Neodiprion lecontei: one gene and its partner. Each later gene encodes a partner of the first gene's protein in a complex. Links are inferred from orthologs where the notes say so. Each region holds a gene or a part of one and is shown on either strand. Other genes may lie near its edges.

Region 1 (4,858 bases):
ACGTCTTTGTCGTTTGCCAATTAATTAAATTATTGAAATATGGCGACGCTGATGCGTTGGATTGAGACATTATTAGAACAATAATATTTCCGTGATCTGATGTGAATAAAAACATACATTTTATCAAATGATCATCTTTTGCTTAGATTTTTTTTTCGTTTTACTGATACCTCTTCAATATGGGTGGGTAGTTATTGAGCAAGAAAACAGAATAATTTTAACATAATATAGCACGGAATGCAACTAGTTTAATAGTTTTATTTACAAAGAAAAGCTGTTTCAATGAATGATTTAACTAAGAGCCTCTACCGGCCTTCCATTTAAAACCTCAGAAATGGCAAATAATTTGAGTAACTTTTTGATGGCCACTCTGCTAATACATCTTTCAAATCTATGAGTGATCATGATAATTTTGTGTTCAGTTTTAAAATCAATACTAGCTTTAAATTAAACTAAAATTGAGTAAAAGGCTTGTCATATATCTGCCGGATAATATTTATTCAGTATAATTTGAGTTGATTCAAGTGTGCTATTCATTTCTTTATTTATTTTTTTTATTAGGGAAACTATAGCAAAGAAAAGTTCAAGTTCGTATGGAAATATGAAATTGGAAATATTCTACATTGTTTCTAACTCTGCAGGAATGTGGATCTTTCTACCTAAGGCAAACTTTTTTAGTGCTTCGTATTTGCTGTGCCACGATTCTATTTCCTCTCTCATAGAGTTGTTATCATCCTGCATGTCCTCCATGTCTCTATACTCCTGAGTTTTTTCTGTTTCAAGCTCATCCTTCTGTTCGATACGTTTGATACGACAGCTTGCTGCATAGCCACGATTCTTCAGTGTTCGCCTGCGCTGTTTCATTCGAACTATTTCATCCCTCGTCAATCCGCGAAGTTTCAGCTGACGATTCAAGTCACGAACTGTAATCGTCACCAGCTCGTCATCGCTTATGTCTAAGCAAGGTCCTGGTGACAGGGGATCCTGAAATCATCACATAAATTTATTGTTCGAAAAACATATTTAAGTGTGATATTGAATACTGGACAAAGAATACATGACATTTTTCTAACATTCTGGTTTTCTTCATACTTCCTGAATCACAGATACTAATCATATGAATGAAAATTTAGTCACTCTGTGATTCTATATTATAAATTCGTAGAACAGAAAATACAACAATTTTAATCATAGTAAAGTTGGTTTAAAGATGATGTTTAATCAGAGTAAAAAATTGTTTATCAACGATTAGCAACATTTCCTAGAGAAAGACGATTTCAGACGATATACATAACAGACAAGGCAGAGGAATGACAAGATAGGAATGTCAATATAATTGATATCGTTGTGCAAACAGCTGGTCTAGGCACCCTTGAAGCGATGCAAAGACTCTCAGCTACTTAGGTTATGAACAAGGAAACGTGAAAACATACGATAATAATAGAAATTAAGAAAACTGTAGCCGCGAACTGTAATCGTCACTCGAATCGAACGTTGTATTACAATATTGAACGAGTGACACGCCTATCGTAATTACAAACAAGGTGTAGTTCTATCAATGAGCGTGTAGGCATTTGGAATTTACGGGGGGAAGTTGATCAGAGAATTTTCATATCTTGGAATAAGACAACTTACCATATCGATCATTCTTTTGCCTTCGGAAGGCATGATCAGCTTCGTTTCAGGAGTTGGACAGTACAATGAACGAGCTACTTTTTCCTAGCTCTCCGTTTTTCACAATATTATGCTTTGTCATCGTGAAAGACGGCTCCCCAGCTTCGAAATTGTCGATTCGTACACCAAGCAGCCAGTCATCGTATGGCTCGAAGCTGGTCCGTAGTCGAAGTAACGCGATCGATTTCGAAATCTATGATGATAACAGGAGTATAACTTATGACCGTCGTGAACATAGCTGCGCAGCTGATTTAGCAGACGATTGCCAGTGCTGGCTGGCTGAAAAAGGGACGTAGCAAATGTGCGGATTTGTTGTAATCGAGGAAAATTAATGGAGTGACCAGAATTCTCAATTGAGAACTAAAATTAACTGATAATCGCGTCACTCCAAAATGGCCACAATAATAATGAGAAATTTTCGGGCCATCGCTAGCCTAGCCTCAGTAGCAGCTCCGAAACGTAAAAATTTTAACCTTACGGTTAACAATATCACGTACTGTTTTAAGTTATATAAACTTCAATTGCAGGTTGTATTTCCGCCTTTCCTGCGCTAAGAAATCAAGCTCAGCCGCCAACTGCACCACCGGCTGAAAAAACAGAAGAAACACGTCGTAAGGTTTCATACATCAAGTTCAATTCTCACTATTTTTTATAACACTTGTCTAATGGGCTGCGGAATAACTGTCTTGTTAGCGAAGAGAGATTTCACAGTCAGAGAGATCAAATTTGATGCAAATTTTGTGAGTGGTAACAGGGCCAACATGAATAGACACATATCGCCATTTGAATGAATAAGTTTTCGTTGCCGTAGAACAAGATATTTCAAAGATGTACCTAGTATCTTATAAAAAGTTCCAGATTTTCACAAGGTATGAAAATGTTAGAGATTTACTTGATTGAGTTTTTCTGATATTCAAGTCATTTCTAAATACTTTTCACCTAGTAGAAGCTGGATATTTAAAGAAATGCGACTCCAAACTGCTGCATTTATTTAAACATTGCTCCACAGGTATCTACCCAAAAATTATTACTGCAGTCTAAAGATTGACATTATTTCTTCCTCACAAAAACTTTGAATCGAATTCAACTCCCCGTGCTCTGTGACATTTTATGCTAACTTATTCCATGTAAAATGATGTGATAATGTTGATGTAATCGATTTATCAATTGTTCACATGGTAGCGGAATCACCACATTATATATTTTAATATTTCTTCTCTGAGGAATGGGATTTTTGTGCATCGCAAATTTTTAAAAACGGAATTATTTTTCAGCTACTGTTCGCAAAGTTGACCACGTTGCTCGCAGTCAGTTAACAGACTTTGGTCGCTACGTTGCTGACTGCGTTCCTAAGTATGTACAAAAGATTCAACTGACAGCAGGAGATGAACTGGAAGTCTTGATAGCACCGGAAGGAGTTGTTCCAGTTTTAAGTTTCCTCAAAGATCATCAAAATGCTCAATTTCTGAACATAGTAGACATTACCGCAATCGACGTTCCAAGCAGAGACAACAGATTTGAGGTACCATTTGATAATTGTTTATAAAATTACAATGTGGCAATAAAGTGGAAAATTTTCATTCAAGTATTCGAAAGTGTTCAAAACATCTTTAATTAGGTTAGTCTCAATTTACTTGAGACTGTTTCCTGCATCATACTTTTATTCATGTATGTTCTCCAATAATCACTTATCCACAGCTCATATACAATCTTCTCTCGCTGCGCTACAATGCTAGAATTCGAGTCAAGACATACACGGATGAGCTGTCGCCAGTTGACTCAGCCTGCGAAGTGTTCAAGGGTGCCAATTGGTATGAACGTGAAATATGGGATATGTTTGGTGTATTCTTTGCCAATCATCCTGATCTACGCAGAATTCTCACCGACTACGGTTTCGAAGGGCATCCTCTTAGAAAGGATTTCCCATTGAGCGGATACGTCGAGGTATACACATTTTTTTTATGATCATCCACTCCAACGTTCCCTAATAGAGCTTCAAAGAAGCAATGAAAATCTTTACCCTTCTCTAACTGTGTGTTTTCACAATTATCTATAACATGTCAATTATTCAGGTACGTTATGACGACGAAAAGAAAAGAGTGGTTGCAGAGCCACTTGAAATGGCTCAAGAATTCCGAAGATTTGAATTGGCTGCTCCGTGGGAACAGTTTCCTAACTTCCGAGGTGCACCTCCCAGTTCTGAGGAGATACCAGTCGACAAGAAGTAAGCATGTATTATTGCTCTGATATAGTATACACAATAAACATGGATTGATTGTCACCAGATTGTATTAGTTGCTGTAGTTGTTTATTTACAATTCAAGTTCTCTAATATTCTTCTCAAATCTGATTTTACCAGATAATAGCGTACGCCGGTGTTGATGTATAACAACTGTACAATTTTACATTAAAAACTTTTGTTCGAGAAGTTCATATTATTTTGAATGTGTCTCTGCCAACATACGTGTATAATACATGTAATTGGTTTACCGTTCACTTGAGTTTCCATTCTAGAAATATTAAAACGATTATGCTGTTTTGTTACATGCAAATCATTCAAATAAACGCATATCGTAAATAATTGAACAGCCAGAGAGAAAAAGAGTGTGAGAAAGAGAGAAAGCGAAAGCCGTATGTGAAAATAATCGTTGAAAAATAAATGATACACAATTGCTATAAATTTATTGTTAATTATTTATTTCATTCTCAATTCGTGTGTGTTTCCTATACCCCAAATTTCAACACATCAATTAATCAAAATTTTAATGACTATCGAAGAGGCAAATTATATTGGAGATGAAGCGTTTTCATTTTCGGTAGTATAACGATAAATATTTTAATAACATATACGTAATGAATAGACAAATTTTTGTTCAAAACACTTGCTCGCGTGAAATCAATAAACAACAACAGAGTAGATGTGTTTGCGTTATCTAAAACCCCCGTGCATTCTAGTGCCAACAAGACGCACGTAATTAATATACAGTTATAAATAATATATTAAGTTTATGGCTTGAAAAAAAAAATCTGAAATACTAAGATTGTTACAATTATATACAATAAATTGTACTTTGTTGCTTTTTTATAAGATTGCAACTTGTCATGACCTACAGTGCAAGTTTTAGATTCAAAATATTCGTTCGGTTTTATCAGACAAGTGGTTGGTGGCCTAGAATTATTTTCA
Region 2 (4,268 bases), on another chromosome or scaffold:
CATACGCTCAAACTGTAAGATGTAAACGCACAAAGCATGGTATTTTTATTTCAGTTTCAGAAATATAAGTACCGACTTTACTGCCTGTACCTATGTTCAGATTTACACAGTCAGATGAAGCCGTGAGATTAATGAGTTGTTAGGTACAGAGAGTAATATCAGTATTACGTAAAAAATGTATAGTTTCAATAACTTATAATACAAACTTATTAAAATAATGTTTTGCAAAAAAAGCTGTATTAAGCAAGAAATGAATATGAATCTTTATTGCCTTAAAGACATCATATTTATACCAATTCTCTAGTTAATTTTTCTATTTTCAATGGTAAAAGATTAACAAAGTCTTTGCAGACACTCAATTCCACGCTCATCAATTCTGCAGCTTTTTCATCCTTCTCACAGTAGCCAATCAGCGCTTTGTAGGCATTCAAACTATTTCGAAGATTTTCTAGCTGTGCATGTTTGTCAGGTGTTATGATTTTATAATACAATCTTCCCAAAAAAAAGTAAGCAAATAAAGCGGGTCTAACTAAATCTTCGGAAAATTTGTCTGGGAAATTGTGAGTGGCTGGATCCACCAGAGAATCTAAAAAATTCTGAAAGTTTCCAATCGCACTCCTGGCAAGGTTATTGATTTTAGTTAGTGCCTGGGCGGTCGGTCTTTCGTTTGACGCTTGCAGACGTTCAAGCTTAATATCTAAAATATCGCAGTAAACTTCGCCCAGTTCGATCCATAGTTGCCTGCACACAGTTTGGTAATACTGTGGATTTAACTCTGTAACAATCTTTTCTAAGGCGTCGACCCGCCGCTTGTGCATTTTAGATTGGCGATCCTCATCCTCTTCAAAGAATGACAAGAATTTAAAGAGCTGCGAAACGTCTTGTATCACTTGCACGTGATCCGACGCATGACTCTCCAATGTGTAATACTTTTTTGCCTCATCAAGCCATTGTTGGGAGTTCAGAAATATCGTCCTGGCATCGTTGAAGTCCAAAGCATATTTGTCTGTCAGTTGATTTGCAATAGTTTCAATTTCTTTCTCTATCTTTGTGAATCTTAAATTCTCGATACATTCTTCAGTGACCCCCGAGTTCTCATCCAACTGCATCCTACTTATCTCCGAGCACATTTCGCTCGTTTCATCATCGGCATGATGCATCAGCCTTTCTTTGGATGTACTCAACAGCAGGATCCCATATTTTGCCCAGCACCTGGCGACGTCTGCGCTTCTATGTCTGAACGTTTCCCATTTTGCTGCCACCACTTCCTCCGTATCGTCCAAACTTCTCAACTCATCCTCGTACTTTTGCAGAATATATGAAGCTGCAGCCAAGTGATGTTTGGCCTGCCTAAACCCTCCCTTTTCCATAAAATACTGGGACAAAGTCGCAGCATTCAAGGCCCAGTCTACACAATCCAGATCTTCGTGGTTCAACTGACGTTTCAGAGTCATGTGGCAGTAGACTGCGGATTTGAGGTGATCCTTTAAGGTTCCATAGATTTGCGCCAAGTAGTAGAGAGTCAGAGTGTGGAGTCGTTCGACTATTTCCTCAGCGTCTGTGTCATCGTCATCATCCTTCAGATTGAACAATGCGGCCATAAGTACGGGTTTGGTACTATCGCTTTTTTCAATCGCAGTAAAATCCTTGTATATTTTTTCAGCTTTTTCTAAATATTTCTGGGATGTTTTTGGATTGTCTCGCTGGGCCCAGAGTATTCCCAGCTGATTCAGAGCACTAAGTATAACTAATATTGCCTCTGGTCTCAGTTCTCGGTCAATCAAAAGGTCCACGCAGTTGGTCAGCTGCTCTTCACCGGCTGCCAATTCCTCCGTGTCGACCGAAATTATCCCCATATTGAGCCAGATAACAGCAAGCATTGCTGTCACAATATTTCTGTCGTGTTCTGTTATATTGTCGTCTAATATTTTCACAAGTTTAATCTGCATTTCCTTGAGTATATCGGCTGCCGCATATTTACTTTTGTACGGCTCACTCTCCGGGTCCAATTTACTGTGCTCGTCCAGCAGCTTTCGAACCTTGACGTATTTCTCCTCCAGGTCCACTAGAATCTCCTTATTCACACTATCGAGCTCCATTTCAACGACACTTTCGGACAATATACTGAAGTGATTGAAATTCAAGCTGCAACGACGACTGATTTATTTGATCCGTGTTTGAGGTTAAGTACCGGTTTTCCTGTTTTCTTTTCGTCGTCTACGCGGTGCGCAGACCGTTTTGCGTTTTTCGTCTCAAGCAGACGCTGTGAGCAGACGATAGAGTGCGATCCGTAGTCTCAATTAATCCTGAAAACTTGTGCAAAGTATCGAGGAATTCAGAATTTGCGTAAAATATGGCTGGGCTTTTGAAAAAGGTAAATGTCTAACATAGTTGAATTGTTGGTATTTCTTAGAAATGGGCTTGCAAATTTTTCTTTATGGCAAATAACGTCAGGTGTTACACAACATAACCTGTATATCATATTAATCACTTCTCGAATACGCGTTGAGAAACGGTATTTTTCAAGAATTGGAGCGTTTTAAACGTATTTTTTTATTGCTGCGCCAGTAACTATAAAGGTCATCGATCCTTTCGAGACTCACTTATGCAAAATTCACTACCAGTTAGACATTGTCTCTGGTGGATGGATGTAGTCAAAGAAAGGTAACTGCTCGTGGCTGCTTATATTTGATTGTGAGATATAATAAAATCGCTAACTGCTCAAGTTGTATTACCATGCTTCTGTTTTTTTAAATTGATAACTAAAGTACTTTGCAGAATATCACAGAAGTCCTATCATTGTTTGATGGAAGGATTCTTTACGACTAACTAACAACTATAAGATTCATGACTGAGACATTTGATTCGTATGTTTATATTCCAAAAGAGCTGTGACTTTTTAAAGCCTTTTTAAGTATATTCAATGCTTTTTAAATGTTCAATATCAAGTATTCTCTTTTTTAGTCAACAAATTTAGCCAGGGTGCCCGTTGCCCCGAATCCACATCATACTTTGGGAGTGTTGTACAGTAAAATTCTTAGAGCCGTCGATAAAATGCCCAAGGATTATCCCTACAGAATCAATACGGAGAAAATTGTTAAGGAACGAGCTGCTCATGTGAAAAATGTAACTATTATTGCACAGTTTATTTATTAATAGTTATTCTTGGAAGATTATTAAATTATAAACTGATCAAGAATGATGTCGCGTAAAGTCGAAAATCGTGATTTTCATTAAGGTTTATTGAAAAGATATGCTTGTTACCTTGGTAAGAAAAAAGATATTGACAAATTATAGGATTTAAATCGTTTCAGAATCTAAAAGTGCCAGACCTTGAAAAAGCCATAAACTGTGGCCAAGCTGAAGAATTAATCCTACAAGCTGAAAACGAATTACACTTGGCGAGAAAGTTCTTAGGTTGGAAGCCTTGGGAACCGTTGATCCAAGAAGCACCTGCTAACCAATGGACTTGGCCACCGCACAAATAATATGTGAATCGATTACGCATATTTAAAATGTTTATAATCATTGCATACGCAAAGTAGACAATATTAATTGTATATACGTCTGTCTCCGATTATAAAATAGCAGTTTTGGAAGAAATTACTTGTTCCTGAAAATAGATATCATTAAAGAAATGAAAATATGCATGGACTAATCAAATGAAACTATGTCATCTTAATTAACGTGCTTCTGCATTGAAAAACAGGTCAAGATTTTTATTTAAAATATTCAAGAGCAATATTTCTTCGTTTTTCTGACCAAATCACGTAATGACCTTCATATGTGCCAGAAAGGAAGATGTAATTAGTAACGGTCTAATTACGTCTCAAGTTAAGTTAGCATTAATGAAAAATTAAAAATCTGCAGATCTACCAAGACTTTGCAGCCAAAATCCCTGTGACGAATTTATTCACAAGCTTACATTTACACTTTAAATATTGAAATTTTATTATAGATAAAAAATAGTCTAAATAAACCGACGAGTTGGAGATTAACAGATTTGTAGTATTTCCAGATTTCCGGACCACAAAAAATTATAATAGCGACACCAGAAAGATATGTATAACATACTCTCTTTGTACTAATTTGAAACTCAAGCCATAGTTAAAGATCTGCTCTACGCTCTACAGTATCATCCATTAGTGCAACTAATATTTCTTGCGAAGTATTTGATGTCCCATCTGGATGTCGTTTATCAAAATTTCCTGACTGTCCCTATTTGGATTCTGATTGCGTAACCACATTTCTATGTTTGCATACTTCCC

The links.
Region 2: the proteins of NADH dehydrogenase [ubiquinone] iron-sulfur protein 3, mitochondrial (region 1) and NADH dehydrogenase [ubiquinone] 1 alpha subcomplex subunit 5 are in contact, whole or in part, in a cryo-EM structure (PDB 8ESW), measured with the Drosophila melanogaster proteins. The link is inferred for Neodiprion lecontei from reciprocal best matches to the Drosophila melanogaster genes ND-30 and ND-13B. Residues at the interface, in NP_647775.1 of Drosophila melanogaster: Tyr66, Glu69, Cys70, Leu71, Pro72, Lys73, Tyr74, Val75, Gln76, Lys77, Leu89, Ile90, Ala91, Pro92, Glu93, Val96, Pro97, Gln100, Phe101, Asp104, His105, His106, Gln107, Gln109, Val119, Val121, Cys123, Arg124, Asn126, Glu129; in NP_648409.1 of Drosophila melanogaster: Tyr28, Ser43, Tyr44, Tyr47, Thr48, Leu51, Arg55, Cys74, Gly75, Glu79, Gln83, Ala84, Asn86, Glu87, Ile89, Leu90, Lys93, Met94, Trp97, Lys98, Pro99, Trp100, Glu101, Lys102, Leu103, Val104, Gln105, Ala106, Ala107, Pro108.

The regions. Positions count from the first base shown.
Region 1 is NC_060261.1:6,099,992-6,104,849, forward strand, and holds NADH dehydrogenase [ubiquinone] iron-sulfur protein 3, mitochondrial, read left to right. Parts: upstream 1-1,904; 5' UTR 1,905-2,066; coding exon 2,067-2,133; intron 2,134-2,201; coding exon 2,202-2,285; intron 2,286-2,948; coding exon 2,949-3,196; intron 3,197-3,372; coding exon 3,373-3,618; intron 3,619-3,746; coding exon 3,747-3,902; 3' UTR 3,903-4,102; downstream 4,103-4,858. Other genes in the region: tRNA (cytosine(38)-C(5))-methyltransferase, read left to right, coding at 1-65; transcription factor MafK, read right to left, coding at 619-984, 1,636-1,668. UniProt on the Drosophila melanogaster protein: Core subunit of the mitochondrial membrane respiratory chain NADH dehydrogenase (Complex I) that is believed to belong to the minimal assembly required for catalysis. Complex I functions in the transfer of electrons from NADH to the respiratory chain.
Region 2 is NC_060260.1:32,435,312-32,439,579, forward strand, and holds NADH dehydrogenase [ubiquinone] 1 alpha subcomplex subunit 5, read left to right. Parts: upstream 1-2,218; 5' UTR 2,219-2,353; coding exon 2,354-2,374; intron 2,375-2,964; coding exon 2,965-3,126; intron 3,127-3,314; coding exon 3,315-3,488; 3' UTR 3,489-3,668; downstream 3,669-4,268. Other genes in the region: KIF-binding protein, read right to left, coding at 288-2,099.